Linked DNA regions of Schizosaccharomyces pombe. The protein of the gene in region 1 interacts with the protein of each later gene in a biochemical or structural test. Each region holds a gene or a part of one and is shown on either strand. Other genes may lie near its edges.

Evidence for each region. Proteins that work in one complex are often made in the same cells at the same time.
Region 2: the proteins of wpl1 (region 1) and pds5 form a complex in vitro, tested with the Schizosaccharomyces pombe proteins (one study listed by BioGRID).

Annotation. Positions count from the first base shown.
Region 1 is NC_003423.3:472,100-479,744, forward strand, and holds wpl1 (WAPL family protein), read right to left. Parts: upstream 4,630-7,645; 5' UTR 4,422-4,629; coding exon 2,921-4,421; intron 2,912-2,920; exon of another isoform or gene 2,881-2,911; coding exon 2,828-2,880; exon of another isoform or gene 2,783-2,827; coding exon 2,528-2,782; 3' UTR 2,475-2,527; downstream 1-2,474. Other genes in the region: SPOM_SPBC428.15 (Obg-like ATPase), read left to right, coding at 111-1,340; Rheb GTPase Rhb1, read right to left, coding at 1,728-1,964, 2,019-2,277, 2,337-2,398; DNA replication licensing factor Cdt1, read left to right, coding at 5,332-6,600; U3 snoRNP protein Utp15, read right to left, coding at 7,104-7,645. UniProt on the Schizosaccharomyces pombe protein: Regulator of sister chromatid cohesion in mitosis which negatively regulates cohesin association with chromatin.
Region 2 is NC_003424.3:1,908,563-1,917,645, forward strand, and holds pds5 (mitotic and meiotic cohesin loader subunit Pds5), read left to right. Parts: upstream 1-3,285; 5' UTR 3,286-3,479; coding exon 3,480-7,097; 3' UTR 7,098-7,335; downstream 7,336-9,083. Other genes in the region: serine/threonine protein kinase Ppk1, read left to right, coding at 1-2,777; Rho family GTPase Cdc42, read left to right, coding at 7,546-7,593, 7,757-7,825, 8,256-8,717. UniProt on the Schizosaccharomyces pombe protein: Required for the establishment and maintenance of sister chromatid cohesion during S phase. Prevents their formation until eso1 is present. May also have a role during meiosis.

The DNA.
Region 1 (7,645 bases):
CGAAACACTCGACCCTTACCACTACTCTAATTCTCAGATTGCAGAGTACGAGTAGGTCCTGGATTTCAGTACCAATTTTTCTCACATACTTCTTCTAAGGTTTCCAAATAATGGGTAGAGACATTTTAATTGGATTTGTTGGCAAGCCCTCCAGTGGTAAATCTACGATGCTGAATGCGTTGACAGATGCCACTGCTAAAACTGGTAATTTCCCTTTTACCACTATTGAGCCAAACCGGGCTATTGGCTATGCTCAAATAGAATGCGCGTGCTCAAGATTTGGACTACAGGACAAATGTAAACCAATTTATGGTGGTTGCAAAAATGGTGTACGTTCAATTCCTATTCAGCTGCTTGATGTAGCTGGTCTTATTCCAGGTGCGCATGCTGGAAAGGGGCTTGGCAATAAATTTTTAGACGATTTACGGCATGCCGATGCTTTGGTCCATGTGGTAGATGTCTCAGGTACTACTGATGCGGAAGGAAAAGTGTGTCGTGGATATGATCCTTCTGTAGATATCGCTTGGTTGTATAAGGAAATAACTGCATGGATCGGAAACAATCTGAGAGAGAAATGGCCTAATATAGTTCGTAGGCATATTGCTACGAAAGCCAATCCTGTCAATACACTACAATCCCAGTTTTCTGGATATGGAAGTACCCCTGCTGTTACAGCTAAAGTCTTAGATTCGCTACATTTAGATACACCTTTGGAGAAATGGGATGATGATACAATTGAAAAAGTGGTTAACAGATTCGTTGATATCAAGTTTCCTACCGTTATTGCTCTTAACAAAATTGATCATCCTGATGCGGATGCAAATATATCTAAAATAGCTAGAAAAGAAGATCCAAATCGACTCGTACTGGCTTCAGCCATATCCGAAGTTTTTCTTCGAAGATTGGCAAAACAGGGGTTTGTTAAGTACGAGGAGGGCTCTGAATTTGTTGATACGCTAGACGATTTTCCTGACTCTGGCTTGAAACCTTTGAGCGAAAATCTTAAAACCCGTATCGCAGACCTCCAAGACATGGTATTATTTCGACACGGTTCAACTGGAGTTTGTAATGTTTTAGCAAAGGCAATGGAACTTTTAAATTTGATTCCAGTTTTTCCCGTTAAAAACGTTCACAATTTTGCAAACTCTCCTAATGAAGGTGTTTTCAGAGATTGCATCTTAGTGAAGCAAGGAACGACTGCTGGACAGGTATCTCAAATGGTATTGGGTGGAGAAGCAATGTCTATTGTGGGTGTAAATGGAAACGTCGGCGAATCTGATGTTATTGTCCCAGGTAAAACGGATATCCTTCACTTTCGATTGCGGAAAGCTGAAGCTTAAGTGATTCATGAAGAAAAGTGGTAAAAGGTCGATTTTGGGAAATATTCAAAATAGTTTTGTATAGATGTTAATAAACAATACTATGTCTAAAAATTAATTTGGTTAGTTTAAAACTTCCGAAGAGCTAACTCAACAAATTACGTCTACAATGTCTGGCTGTACTTTCTCCACTATGTATTACATTGACTAAATTTTAAAACCATAGTTTAGGTACTTGTATATTTGAAATAAAGAGTCGAAATCTTGTAAACCCATGTGTAAAAAAACACGTTTGTGTGCAAAGTATCACCTCATGTAATGTAAGCCCATATCTTGCATTAGCAAAGATAAAATCGTTAATTCAGTTAAAATAAATTAATCCATAATATGATAAATTCAAGCAGAAGCTTAGGCGATAACACAACCCTTTCCATCACCAGGAGGGGAAGGATTTGCTTGTTTTTCAATTTCGCTGATAATTAGCTCGAATGCTCGAGCAACATTTTCGTTATGGCGAGCTGAAGCTTCTGTCCATGCACATTTCCATTCATTGGCCAATGCTTTTCCCTCTTCAGCGGTAACAGCACGCTGCATATGCAAGTCGCTCTTATTGCCAACAACCACAATGGGGACCCACTCAGTACCCTTAATAGCAAGTAGGTTAGTAAAAAATTTAAAAATTCTAATAATTTGACATACAGTGTGATTCAATATCTTGTCACGAACTATTTTAACCATCTCAAAAGAAGATTTGCTAGTAATGCTGTAAACGAGTACATAGCCATGGATTCCAATGGAATGCTTAGAATTTAAGATACTGTATTCATCTTGACCAGCCGTATCGATAATTTCAGTAGCAAATTCTTGACCCTTATACTTGATGTTCTTGCTGAATGTATTTTCAATAGTTGGATAATACGATTCAACGAAATGGTTTTCAACATATTGCACCGTTAAACTATTTAAAAAAAATGGTTAGTAAACCTATTTGCGCATAAACTTCAATCAAACGCTTACCTGGACTTTCCAACAGAACGACTGCCAAGAACAGCAATTCTACGAGATTTAATAGGAGCCATTGTTTAAATTAGAAAATTTCAAGATTATAATATTTAAAAAGGCAAATTATTAACTATAGAGTGATCGTAAAAAAAAGTGAGTGAAAGCAACGATGTTGTGGATGTCACGTTCCCAGCGCGCCGCAAAGGTCATTTTACCAAGTCACTGCGCAAGTAGTCTTGCAACGATTTATGTAGTTCATCAATTATAGAAACAATGGCTAGTCCATTAGAACCCATCATCATTAATTCCTCTTTCAATTTCAAATGAAAATTTTTAAATTTATGTAGAGATTCGTAAAACTGAGATATCAAAGGCTTGAGTTGGGCAAACGCTTTGGGATCATTTAAAAAGCAATGGCTTAAAATCATTACGACATATCCACTAATTTCTACGATACTTTCCTACATTTGTTAGAAATGTCTTACAACAGAAGTAGTACAACTTACGTTCTTTTGATAAAACGAAATGAGGACATCGAGTGCTGAAGCTCCGAAAGAAACTAAATAGAATTAGTAAAAATATTAATAAAAGGAACTTACCTTCAACATGAGTGATAGTTTGAATAAACTCATGAGATTCCTCAACTAGCCCTAGTAAAAGACCAAGGATTAAGATAATTAGTTCTCGTGTAGTTTCATCATCGGACGAAAAATTAGAAAACTTTTGTAAAATTTTATAAGCAAACAATGGGACTTCTGATTTAGAAACCGCTAACGCATGATCACTGTTAGAATTAACTGTTTGAATCAAAGTACGCAACAATTTTTCACTGCATGCATGGACAACTGTATCGTCAATTTTTGGTGAATTTGTTTCATTGTGTTCATCAATTAAAATTTGTAACTTTGAGGATAAGATCTGTGAAACCTTCTGAATCTTTTCTGATCCCTGGAAATCCGTAAATTTTTCTAAAGAACTACAAAGTGCATGAAGTAAGAAGTTATTGCTTCCATCGTTTTCCTTCAAGATGGGGTAGGATTTTTCTATTAAAAGATTGATTAATTCGGTAAACAACTCGCTTTCCGCAAAAACTCCCGAGGACGTCTTCATAAGAGCGATAGCTGCAAGACTGATAGAATCAGAAGAAGCAAGAGACTCATTGCTAAAACTAAAAGTAAGCTCTGCCTTTATAACGAATTCTTGAACGGCTCCCTTTACACTTTTTGGTAAGCTTTTTGCCAAAATTGAAACCGGTACCTGCGGTTCTAAAGTAATAGCCGTTTGCAAAAGAAGTTTAACATTGTTTGAGTAAGCATCAAGCAAGGAACTCATGCAATCCATTTCATTAGCCATAGTTGCAAATATATAAATCTGCAAAAAAGTGTGTAAAGTATCTTTAGGATCAATTTCTTCAAATATTCGCAAGAAGACATCCCGTATCGACTTTAAGCATAAACGAAATGAATTGTCAAACATTTTTTCAGCGATTCCTATTAAACTCAAATAGCGAGAAGCAGAAGAGTTACCTGAGAAAGTCACTCCGTCCACTAAGTATTCAATTTCATCAACGATCCTTTGCTGCTCTCCAGCAAAGCGAAGTTCATGTATACTTTTCATTTGAATTTCATCATCTTCTGATACGTCTTCCTCTATCAAAAAAGCACGTTCTGTACCAATAGTATGGTTGGTTGAATCCAATTCTCGACCAGAGGATACTTCACGGGGTACAATTGGCTGAGTATCTAATCCTTCCTCCATCAAATACGATCTTTGTTCCCGATAGGTAGTGGAAGAATGGTTTGCGGAAGCATCAATACTACTACAGCTCGCGGACCTTTCCAGTCCTGTCTTATGAGAACCGTACTTTGAATTCTGAAGTCCATTTCTTAAAATTTGTTTTACCGGTGAAGACGGTAAACTCAAATCAGGATTACTAACGACCCTTTGCTTTTTATGCAGTCGTTTAGACACGGTCTGTCCTGGCGAGCGCTTTTGCTTGTTTAACTCTGAAACTGTCACGTCTAAAAAGTTCCAAACTTCCGATTCCGAAGAAATTCTCTTCAAACCATTATCTTTTTCCTTACATTTTCCTCTTTTCATTTCAAGGTTTCTTCAATCCGCCTGGCTTGACATCGATTCTTTACAAAAATGGAGGAACACGGTCGTACCAACTCACAATGTAGCTTGTCGAGTGAGTGAAAACCTTCGAAAATAGAGCTTAATAACTTCTTGAGCAAAGAAAAAAGAAAATAGGGTCCTTGATGAGAAATTCGTTTTTTATACTCAGTAATTTTAGAATCGTTTTTCTATTTGTACTTGGTTGATTTCAATCGGTCCTTATAGATATTTGAGTCACATTGTTACTCTACCCAGTATAAATAGAAAAGACTTAGTCGATAGAAATCATACAGGGCATCTTTTTATTCATTTATTATAGCAACTTATCCACTGATAGTAAAAAAGTTAACTAAAAGTTTTGAATTCGTACAACTTATGGAAGACCATAAGTGGACGAGTGGCTATTTGACACAAGTTTGTTTTCAGAGAGCCTGAACTTGGTGCAACACCTTTATTATACAGAAATCATTGTGACATGTAACATATTATTGAAAATTTCGACAACGAACAACTCAATAATATCTCGCAGAGCAAAGGAGTTATTCAAAATTTATATAACGATGCATCCTGTAATAATTTTAAACTCGTATAAGAGATTCTATAAAAACTTCGGAAAATGAAAAGCTGTAGTTAAAAAATTGTTTTGTGAATTTTGTACAAGTGTTGGAACTTATTTATTCAATATAATCTACTGAATCATATAGGCTAAGTAAGACATAAACTGATTAGTCGGACAAATGTGAACTAGTTAGCAAGCGCGACACGATAGCTACGCGACGCGTCAACAAACGCGACACGCTCAAATTTAATATAACCCTCGATATAAATGAAATGTCGCGCCCTATATAGTCACGACAACAATATCCTTATTTTTGGATTTTGTGTTCAAATCATGAGCGCTGGATCGCAAACAAAATTGAACTTCTCTGTCCGTAAAACTCGATCCTCATCAAAAAGGTCGAATGCGGCCATTATTGAGCCACCCAAAAATCCTGAGGATTCTCAAATAATACCAGCTGTTAAAAGGCTGAAAGAGAACTTGGACACTGAGTCTTTAGAACAAAATGAGGTTTTACCCCCAGTTAAAAATGAATCAGTTCTTTTCTTAGAAAAGGTCTTTAATGCAGTCGACATATGTGTAAAATTTCACCTCTCCATCAATACCAAACCAACCTTTGTGCTGTTAGAAAATAAAGTCTCTGGTCTCACCAAAATCTCCTTAAAAATAACTCATCTCGCTCAGATTTTAACCGTATGGCCAGAGTCATTTGCTATTACCCCATGTTTTACTATTCATCAAGGAAAGCGTGTTGCAACATATGAACTGTCATACCCTCGCAATGCGAATCTTCCTGAAGCCTTCTCCCGCTCCATTGAATTTAAACGGAGACTAGAAAAATGGTTGTTAGAGCATTGTTCTGAAACTGAGATTCCTGCTCAACAGTTACAAGCTTTACCCAGTCTATCCAAGAATACTGTTAATGAAAGTTCACTAGTTCGAAAGCTCAATTTGGAGAAATCAACAAGTCGCGAGTTACGTATTCCCACACAAACTCTAGAACCAAAATTCACTACTAACACGGCAAAATATGCTAATGAGTTAGTCTCGTGTAGCATGCTTGACAGTTCGTCCACTTTGTCAAAGTCAGTGAATTCAAAAATCAATTTGAAATCCCATCAAAGTTCTTCATCTGTTCAAAATTCATCGCGTAAGCTAACATCATCTCAGTTAACTTTGAGACAATCTTCTCTGTTCGATCGCGTGCGTAAAAAGCAAAAAGCAATGGAAGCAAAAAAAGCTGAAGAATTTAAAAACAACCTAGTTGTTCATACTCTAGCAAAAGAAAAGGTCTCATTTGTCCGCATTATTGATCTCATTTTTGTTCAGCTTTCCACTTGGCCAACTAAACGATCTTTTTCTATGTCTGAAATTGTGACAAGCATGCAAATGTCGATATCATCAAGCTTATCACCTGACCAGTGTGCCAAAGCAATTGAGTTGCTTTCAAAAGCTTTGCCTGCTTGGTGCACTATCAATCTTCTTGGTAATATTCAAGTAGTCACATTCAGCAGGATTGTTAATGGGAAACCATACTTGCGATCCCAATTAATTGAAGAATTGCAAACAAAGGCTAGCATCACTATTCTTTCAAATTCTTAATTGTAGGCGATGTTTCGAATGACATGCCTAAGATCACCACTGCTGGCAGTGGTTTAACGTTTACTATCTTTTACGATCTATATAATTTCCATCACCAATATTATGATACTATGGAATCTTTCATTAATTTACTTTTGTTATTATGTTTTTGGTTGATTTACTCTTCTAGGTACATGAAATCCGGTTATCCTTTTTAACAAGCTACAAAATTACTTTTTTTTAATAAATAATTATTTCCTTTAAGACCACTTAACCTGCCATAAATCCCAAGTTTTTGTTTTTCTGCGAATACTTTAAATTAACACCCAAACATTGAATAAAATTTTTTGATATTTACCAATTCCAGCGGCAAAGGGTGGCAGTTATTGCTGTAATTAAAAATCTCAAATAAGGCGCCGTTTTTAATAAACAATCTGAGTGAATCATATCGATAATGTAAAGGTTGCTAGTTAGAACACACAAATTGAGGTATAACTCGCACATTAAGATATCATAATCATTGGTCAAGCAGACAACATCTGAAGCATACCAACCAACTCATTTGCCCTTTGAGTAACCGCTACTTCCTGCTCAACTTTTTCACGAAGCTTTGAAATTGCATTTTCCACCATTACGCTGCCCCCAAGAGCAGCTCCGTATATATCTAAAATGGTGCTAGTAACTATACATAAAGTTTCGGAGAAACGAGGGTCTCTTATATATTTTCTTAAGAAGTTTATCAAAGGAGTAAGAGATAAATCATCTCTGTTAGACAATGCAATCCGTAACCCTCCAACATGAAGAAGCTCAATAAGCATAGTTATGATAAGAACAGGTGATCCGTTCTCCAATACCATATCCAAAGCATCAGAGTAACAAAATGATTTTAAAGCTTTGTCGAAAGGACGAAGTCTTTTACGTCTAGCCTCTTCGACATAAAATTCATCGTTCTCGCCCTTATAGATTTGTTTCTTTTTACCTACTACACCAAAAGCACTTCCGACGCCCCCTAAGAAAGGAGTTTTTGAGCTCGTTTGCTTGGTTATACGTCGAGTCCGTTGCGATA
Region 2 (9,083 bases), on another chromosome or scaffold:
CTTATCAAGCCATTCCTTCCTCCTCCTCTAATCGATCCCGTGGTGGTCCTTACACCCCAAGCATTCGAGATGACTCTCTTCTAGCTTTACTCAGTTTCTCCTCGAATCATCGTCTGCATTCTATGCCCTCTCAACTTCAGCCTTTTAATAATGCATCATCATACACTACTCCAATGGCCCCTTTTACGGCATCCTTTTCTAACAAGGTTTCTCATTCTGCTTACCCCACAAGGAGGCTACCTAGTCAGGCAAAAAAAACATCGGCAATAGAGAGAGTTCCGGTCAATCTCAATTTCCTACAGTCGGACAACTTGGTTGTGCAGTCATCGCCGCAAACGAATTTTGAAAACTTTGAGTTTCCGAAAAAGATTCCATCAAAAGAAGATTTGGAAACTCGTGAAGTGTTATTACTCCCTCCGCAAACGTCTAAACTCTCAAACAAAAATTTGGACACCAAAAGTTTTACCGATGTTAACAAAATTTCCCAACAAGGATTTGTGGAAATCAGTTCAAATTCTTCAAAAGTTACCCCCAATACAAGCTTGCATCAATCCTTTGGCATAGCAAGCTCCTCTTCCAATAATTATATGCAGACATCGTCTGAACTTACCTCTTCTACCGAGAAGATGAATGGATCGCATCCTTTGCAATTGTCGAATAAGTCATTATTGTCGATCCATCTTATGCAGTCTAAAAACCAAGGTCATGTTTCGATGACAGGTTCAGATAAACTCTCTTCTCATGTACAGTCCGAAACCGAGAATGCTCCTGTAAGTAAACCAAGTAAACCAAATACTTTGACTGAAGATGAAAAACCTTTACAGTCTACGAAGCTCCCTGGAAATTCTCTTACTGTTGGTGAATTATACCAAGAACCCAAAAGTATCCAGCTGCCCGAATTGTCTGTTTCACGGACTACTTATTCGGCTCAATCCTCTTCTGTCAAAAATTGCAACGAACGCATTCCCTCTGCTAAAGCTCTAAAAAAGCAAAAGCATTTAGTTCCGGAAAACAAATCAAAATTGCAATATGTATGGCAGAAAAAAGAAAGCCTCCCTTATGCTAACCTTACTTCCGCAAGTAATACGCACTTTTTTCTGTCGGAAAACCAGAACGACACTTCTGAACGGTTGACCCGTACTTTGAGAAAAAGCACAAAAAACTATACGTTTGGCTCTTATATATTGGGAAGGACAATCGGTACCGGCGAGTTTGGAAAGGTTAAACTTGGCTGGCCTTTACCAAAAGCCAATTCTACTATTCACCGCTCAACACCGCAAGTTGTAATTAAAATAGTTTTGTCTACGAAGCAAAACTGTCAAACAAGCCGATTGATGCGAGAGGTGGCCATTTTAAAAGGTTTGGGTAATAATCACCCCCATATTGTAAAATATTTGGATTTTGTAAAAACTAAACATCATTTTGGTATAGTACTAGACTATGTTAATGGTGGTGAACTTTTTGATTATATACTGGCGCGCCGAAGACTTGAAGATTCGGTTGCTTGCCGACTGTTCGCACAATTAATAAGTGGTGTTGCCTATTTACATTCTCGAGGAGTGGTACATAGAGATCTGAAGTTGGAGAATATATTGCTAGATACTAATCGAAATATCGTAATTGCGGATTTCGGCTTTGCGACTACTTTTGGGCACTTTAATACTCTCAGTGAACACTCATTGCCCACGGAAAAGCCAGATTTATTTAGTACATCATGTGGATCGCCTTGTTATGCGGCCCCTGAATTAGTGAATTGCAAGTCTGGAATGTATGCTGGCACACAAGCAGATATTTGGAGTTGCGGTGTCATTTTATATGCAATGTTGGCTGGGTATCTACCATTTGACGATGATCCACACAATCCAAATGGAGAAAATGTCCCTCGACTCTATCGGTATATTTGCAGTACTCCTTTAATATTTCCGGAGTTCTTTAAAAGCAAAGCTCGCGACATTCTTAAAAAAATTTTAGTTCCTGATCCAGCAAAACGTGTCCGAATGTCAGCAATTATGAATCACGCATATCTCCGGTCTCATGTGTCTCTATTTGAAACGTATAACGATGATGAAGCGACCTCACTGCGTCCGTCTCCCATCCGTTTGCTTTCTCAAAAATCTTTAGCTAGTGTTTCTTCAGTTTCGTCAATCAGCACTTACTCTTCTTCCATTGAATTGACTCCTCAGATCACAAAAACTTCATTAAATCGAGAAAAACCGGCATTACATGGCAGCATCAATCTTAAACACTCAACGAGGCCGGTTGTACCAATTGCAGATGGTATCTATGCTTCTACTACTCTTCATCCAATCGATAATGCTAAAAACCGCTTGGTTTCTTTACTGCGCCGTCCCAAGCATAAGGTTAAGCATGCCAAAGTTGAAACACGTGAATCTCCTATGAAAAATAAGCCAACTAAGAAACAACACAAGCGTGCATTTAGCATGTTTGAGAGGCCCACTTCTCAGAAAGCCCCATTGTCACCAGTAGAAAGCAAGATTAACCTTATGGTTGCTCCTAAACGTGTATTAAATTGTGCTTCAGATTCTTTAAGAGCTTTATTAGCAGGAAAGACGGATAAATCTTTTTGGGGTTCACGTATACCATTCTTGTTTAATAAATTGAAATCCAAACAGAAGGCTGTATCCAGCTCCTTCAATACGGAAAACTCATTTTTAATTCTTCAAGCAGTTTCGCCTTTAACTTTTGGAGGTTGTTTCAAAGAAGAAAACGCGTATGGGCAGAAGAAGCAGCACATGAGACACGCTACCGTTTTTTAATGTTTGCGTTACGATATTGTATATCTCAACAATGCATGATAATTATCAAACTGCCTGTTTCCTATATTAGTTTTTTAAAAAGATGGCTCTTCGACTTTTTCTTAAGAAAAGCGGTTTATATGGTTATCAATTATTAAAGCTTGAATTGATTGTTTGACAATGTTGAACAATGGGTTTCCTAAAAAAAGACGCTTTAGCTGATTTTTATCGTTTATCAGCGTGTATATTACTTGCCTTGTACTTTACAGTTTCCGCTTTTCATCTTTATTCTAACTTTTTATTTTAATTTTTAATTTTTTGGTACAAGCACCTTTCGTTCTTTAAACTACTTTTAAACTATTAAATTTCTTTCACTCATATGTCCTTATATCTAATTCACTCGTTAATAATATTTTATCATTACCCTTGAGTTATACTTATTAGTAAATAGTGTAATATTTTAATTACAATAAATGGAACGCGTTCTTTTACGCGTCTCTTCTTTAAGCAAGTACATTGCGAGTCTAACACGAACGTAATAAAGAGTTGAGCACCACATTTTGAAATCGCATCTTTCAAGCTTCAATATTGCGAAGTACTAATTAATAAAATCAGCCTATGGCTCTTATGGATATAGAGCATTGAAAGTTTACTGCATTTGTCATTTATTTGTTAAATACCCAAGGTGAATAGTACAAAAGCGTGCAAAAGCCAACTTTTGCGATGATAAAGTTACAGTTTCAAAGAAACATTGTCCCAACACATGACAATCCGTTAACGACTTCCGAGATTTTAAAACGACTACGTGATTTACTAGGAGAGCTTACTAGCCTATCCCAAGATACTATCGACCGTGACTCAGTATTGCCAGTAGCACGATCATTAGTAAATAACAATTTGCTCCATCACAAAGATAAAGGGATACGCTCTTATACACTTTGTTGTATTGTTGAATTGCTTCGTTTATGTGCCCCCGATGCGCCCTTCACTTTATCACAATTGGAAGATATTTTCCAAGTAATTCTCAAAATTCTTAGTGGTCTTATGAATCAAGAATCTACTTATTATCCACAAATTTACGAGATATTAGAGAGTTTGTCGAACGTTAAATCTGCAGTTCTAATAGTTGATCTCCCGAATGCTGAAGAATTCTTAGTAAATATCTTTCGTCTCTTCTTTGATTTAGCGAGAAAGGGTACTACCAAGAATGTCGAGTTTTACATGCTTGATATTATTAACCAGTTGATCAATGAGATTAACACCATTCCTGCTGCTGCCTTGAACATACTATTTGCTCAACTAATATCAGGAAAGGGCGTAAGGCAAACAATTGGCTCTTCCGATTCTACTAATCACGGTCCAGCTTTTCAACTAGCGAGAAATATTTTTCATGACTCAGCAGATCGACTACAAAGATATGTTTGCCAGTATTTCTCAGATATTATATTCGATTCAAGAGATTCGCTTTCTGACTCCATGACTACTCCAGAATTTATATTCTCGCACAATTTAGTTTTACAATTATGGAAATATGCACCAACCACGTTATTGAACATTATTCCACAATTCGAAAATGAATTGCAAGCTGAACAAACTAGTGTGCGACTTGTGGCGATAGAAACTGTTGGTTTGATGCTCCAAGACAACGCCATATGGTCCGATTATCCTAGGGTATGGAGTGCATTTTGTGGTCGGCTCAATGATAAATCAGTTGCATGTCGTATCAAATGCATTGAAGTTGCTTCCAACGCTCTTCAGAATTCATTGGCTACTTCTGAGATAATTGAAAACGTAGTTCAAATGCTTCAATCAAAGTTGGCCGACACGGATGAAAAGGTGCGGGTTGCTACTCTTAAAACGATCGAACAGTTGACTTTCGAAACCTTTAAAATGCAATTTTCAGTACAGGCTTTGAAACTCATGGGTGACCGTTTACGTGATCGTAAACTCAATGTTCGTTTACAAGCAATTCGGACACTAAGTCAAATTTATAATAGAGCATATCAAGACCTTATAGATGGTGTGGAATACTCAATACAGATGTTCAGCTGGATCCCTTCATCTCTTTTGGAAGTATTTTATGTTAATGATGAAACAACTAATGCGGCTGTTGAAATTTGTATGGCTGAACTGGTCCTACAATACCTTAGTTCTGATACGCAAACAAGGTTAAACAGGCTTTTCCTTTCAATAAAGTATTTTAGTGAAAAAGCGATGCGAGTTTTTATTCTACTTTTACAAAGACAAGTTAAGTATTCGGAACTCTTAAATTACTACATTGAGTGCTGCAAAAATTACAATGGAGGTGTTATGGATAATGATGAAGAGTCAATTACCAACAAGCTTAAGAAGGTGATTGATATCATATCATCAAAAAGTTCTAATCCTACATTAACAGAAGCCACTTTCAGAAAATTTGCGGAACTTAATGATCGTCAAAGCTACAAAATGCTTTTACAAACGTTTTCCATTAAAAGTGAATATCAAGTTGTTTTAAAAAGCATAAAATATTTATTTAAAAGGGTTTCTGAAACGTTGAGTACCGCAAGTCTTGAATGTTTTAGAATATTCGTTTACCGTTCAGCTCTGTTTGCTTTTAATAAAAGCAACGTGCATGAAATAATTCAATTATTAAATGAACCTGTAAAATACCACAATTTCCTTAAGCCGTCGGAGGCTCTTTTACAGCATTTACCGCTAATTCATCCCAACATATATGGAGAGGTTGTTATAGAAGTTGAAAATATTATAGTTTCTTCGGGCATTGAATCGGATCCTAAAGTAATTAAAGCTCTTTCCCAATTCTCCAAAAGAAAAAAAAATTTTTCTATACAAACAACAACTGCTGAAATACTACGAAAGTTGTGTCTACATGGAACACAGGAACAAGCCAAACAGGCAGCGACGATTATCGCTATAACGGAGACGAAAGAATTCAAACTCGATATGATAACGAATATCGTGGAAAATTTGGAGTATAATGGAGGACTTCCTGTACGGCTTATGACTTTAGGACAACTATTTCTATACACTTTAGAAGAGGTAGAGAAGGTTGCTGACCAAGTTACAGAATTTTTAGTAAAAAAAGTTATACAGCGCTTTCCTGAAAAATATGATGATACGCATAATGATGAGGAATGGTGTACTTACGAAAAATTAGATAATCTTACCATGTGCAAAGTTTTAGCAATTAGGGTTTTGGTTAATCGACTGAGGGCGGCGGCAGGAGGAACCGAAGCGTTAAATATTGGAGCTCCTATCATTAAGCTATTGAAAGTATTGTTAATGGCTGACGGTGAATTAAGTCCGTTCAAGAATACTCCCAAAATTTCTCGTGCTTATTTACGTCTCACTGCTAGCAAATATTTTTTAAAGTTATGTTCCATTCCTTTTTATGCGGAACATATAGATTTTAGTTCTTACGTTCAAATCTCCTTATTATGCCAAGATGAAAATTTTGACGTGAGAAATTTATTTTTGACGAAGCTTCAGAAGCAGCTGCAACTTAAAAAGTTGCCAATTAGTTATTATCCTTTATTGTTCCTGACTGCTGTTGATCCGGAAGAGGAGATCAAGACTAAAGCGTCTATATGGATACGTTCTCAGGTTGCTTTTTTCCAGAAAACCCATGATTTTACCATGGAATATGTAGCAACATATCTTATCCATCTTCTCTCTCACCATCCAGACATATCTTCGATAGAATCAGAGAACTCGCTTGATTTTATTGCATACATTCGCTTTTACGTTGACACTGTTGTTAATAGTGAGAACGTCCCAATCGTTTTTCATCTAATGCAACGCATAAAACAAAGCTATGATGTTATTGAAGATGGAAACAATTACATTTATGTGCTAAGCGACATGGCTCAGAAAATATTGCAGGTGAAATCCCAGAACTTTGGATGGAGTTTGACTACGTATCCAAAGCAAATTAAATTACCTTACGAAATTTTAAGACCAATTCCCTCTATAGATGAGAAAAAGAGAATTTTCAATAAAATCTTCATAACGCCTAAAATGGAAAGTCAGATTGAACATGCTATAAGGACACCAGTCTCATCTTTTGCGAAACAGACTACCAATAAGCACGCAAATTTGAAGCAAAAGAAGACTCATAGCTCAAAGAGCGATAAAAAATCGTCTAGAAGAAGGAAAAACGAAAAAAGGAGAAAGCTAAATGAGCAGAATCCTAATATTAGGAACGTGCCAGAACGAAGTAGCTCAAGATTTCAAGGGATTCGTATAAATTATTCGGAAGCACCGTCTTCAAGTGAGGAGATAAGCGAAGAAGAGGAGGAAATTAGCGAAGAAGATTTTGATGAAATAGAGGATTTATAAAAAAGGCTTATTTGGATGCGAAATACCGATACTAGAACACTTACCCAATATTACCAATGAATTTTCAATGTTAATTAGATAAATTGCTATCTTTTTTGTTAAACAATCTATGCTTGCTAATTGCCTAAACTTTTGAAAGATGACTCCATCACATACATGCCTCCATAACTTCTGCATCTATTAATTTTTTTCATTCCTAGTAATATAATAATAAAAGTTGCATTTTTGAGTTTTTTTACGCTTTACAATTCGTAAAATCTAATAGTGAGATTGGATTAGCCGCTGTAGTATATCTTAATAAAGCATGGCTGGGCGAACTAATTACGGTGACCGCACAATATATTTACCTACAACCAACACCGGTGTTTGATACTTAGGGGTTTGAACTTTCTAGGAATTCAATAAAGTGAAGCAAAGCTTTACGATTAATTATTTTTTGTGAAATAGTATGCCCACCATTAAGTGTGTCGTAGTAGGAGACGGTGCTGTAGGAAAGGTGAGTTGATGTTTACGGAAGGTGAAGTTAAGCAATGCATAAAAAAATACAAGAATTGCTATCATCTAAAATGAAGTTTCTTTTGTCTATACATTCCCCTTTATTTCTTTCTTTCCAAAAATTGTTCTTTTGAGTTTTACACATACTGACCGTTTGAATGTAGACCTGTCTGCTTATTTCCTATACTACAAACAAGTTTCCTAGTGACTATGTGCCAACTGTATTCGATAATGTAAGTATAATTAGTTGTTTATGGAATGAAGTACTTGGTGAAGTTTTGTCCCCATATTAGAAATTTTTTACTATTCAAATGTTCGGTCACGGAAAATTTTGATATAAGGCTTTTTGTCAAAAAAAGGCTGAAGGATTAAACAATGACTCAATGTATTTATCGATTTTATCTCAGAAACTATTGAAAGTTTAATAATTTTTTTTTATCCGATGCTTTTTTTTTTCCACACTAGATCTAAAGACCGTAGGAAGCCTTATCTCGTAAGGAATAAGATGAGGCGACCACTTTCTTTCCCAGGAAGATTTGGTCGTTATTATTTCTGCTATTTGCTATATTGGGGACTATTCTAACTTTCTTGTTGCTTTTACTCCCGTTTTTAATTGATATAGCTGATTTTCATTTTATAGTAAAGATTTACTGACTAAAATAGTATGCTGTCACTGTCATGATCGGTGATGAACCATACACTCTTGGTTTATTCGATACCGCTGGTCAGGAGGATTATGATCGCTTGCGTCCTTTATCCTATCCTCAAACAGACGTCTTTTTGGTTTGTTTTAGTGTAACTTCTCCTGCCAGTTTTGAAAATGTGAAAGAAAAGTGGTTTCCCGAAGTTCATCATCATTGTCCGGGCGTCCCGTGCTTAATTGTTGGTACCCAAATTGATTTACGTGATGACCCTTCTGTGCAACAGAAACTAGCTCGCCAGCATCAGCATCCCCTTACACATGAGCAAGGTGAACGATTAGCTCGTGAGTTGGGTGCTGTCAAGTATGTTGAGTGTTCCGCTTTGACCCAAAAAGGGTTAAAGAATGTTTTTGATGAAGCTATTGTAGCCGCTCTTGATCCTCCTGTTCCTCACAAGAAAAAGTCAAAGTGTTTGGTACTGTAATTTAACCCCTGGTTTTCTTTCCTTTTCCGAAATTTCCTTAATACAGCTAGTTTACAACAGTAAACAATGTCTTAGCTTTCTTTAACGATCCCTCATATTTGCAAAGATATTTGCTATTTGTTGTTTTCATCCTAGCTTTTGTGCTTCTTCATTCATTCTGTCAATCACACACTTCTTGGGCTTTACATATCTGTGTTTTCTGGCTAGGCATATTTCCTTTTTCCGTTAAATAAACGACGATTTTGCTATACTTTTGCTACATTATTGTATTCTTCTGCCATTACTCGCAGAATTCGGTATGGTCCGACTTTGATTTTAGCTCTAATATTAGTGTAGCCAGGTAATTCGCAAATAATATTATTTCAT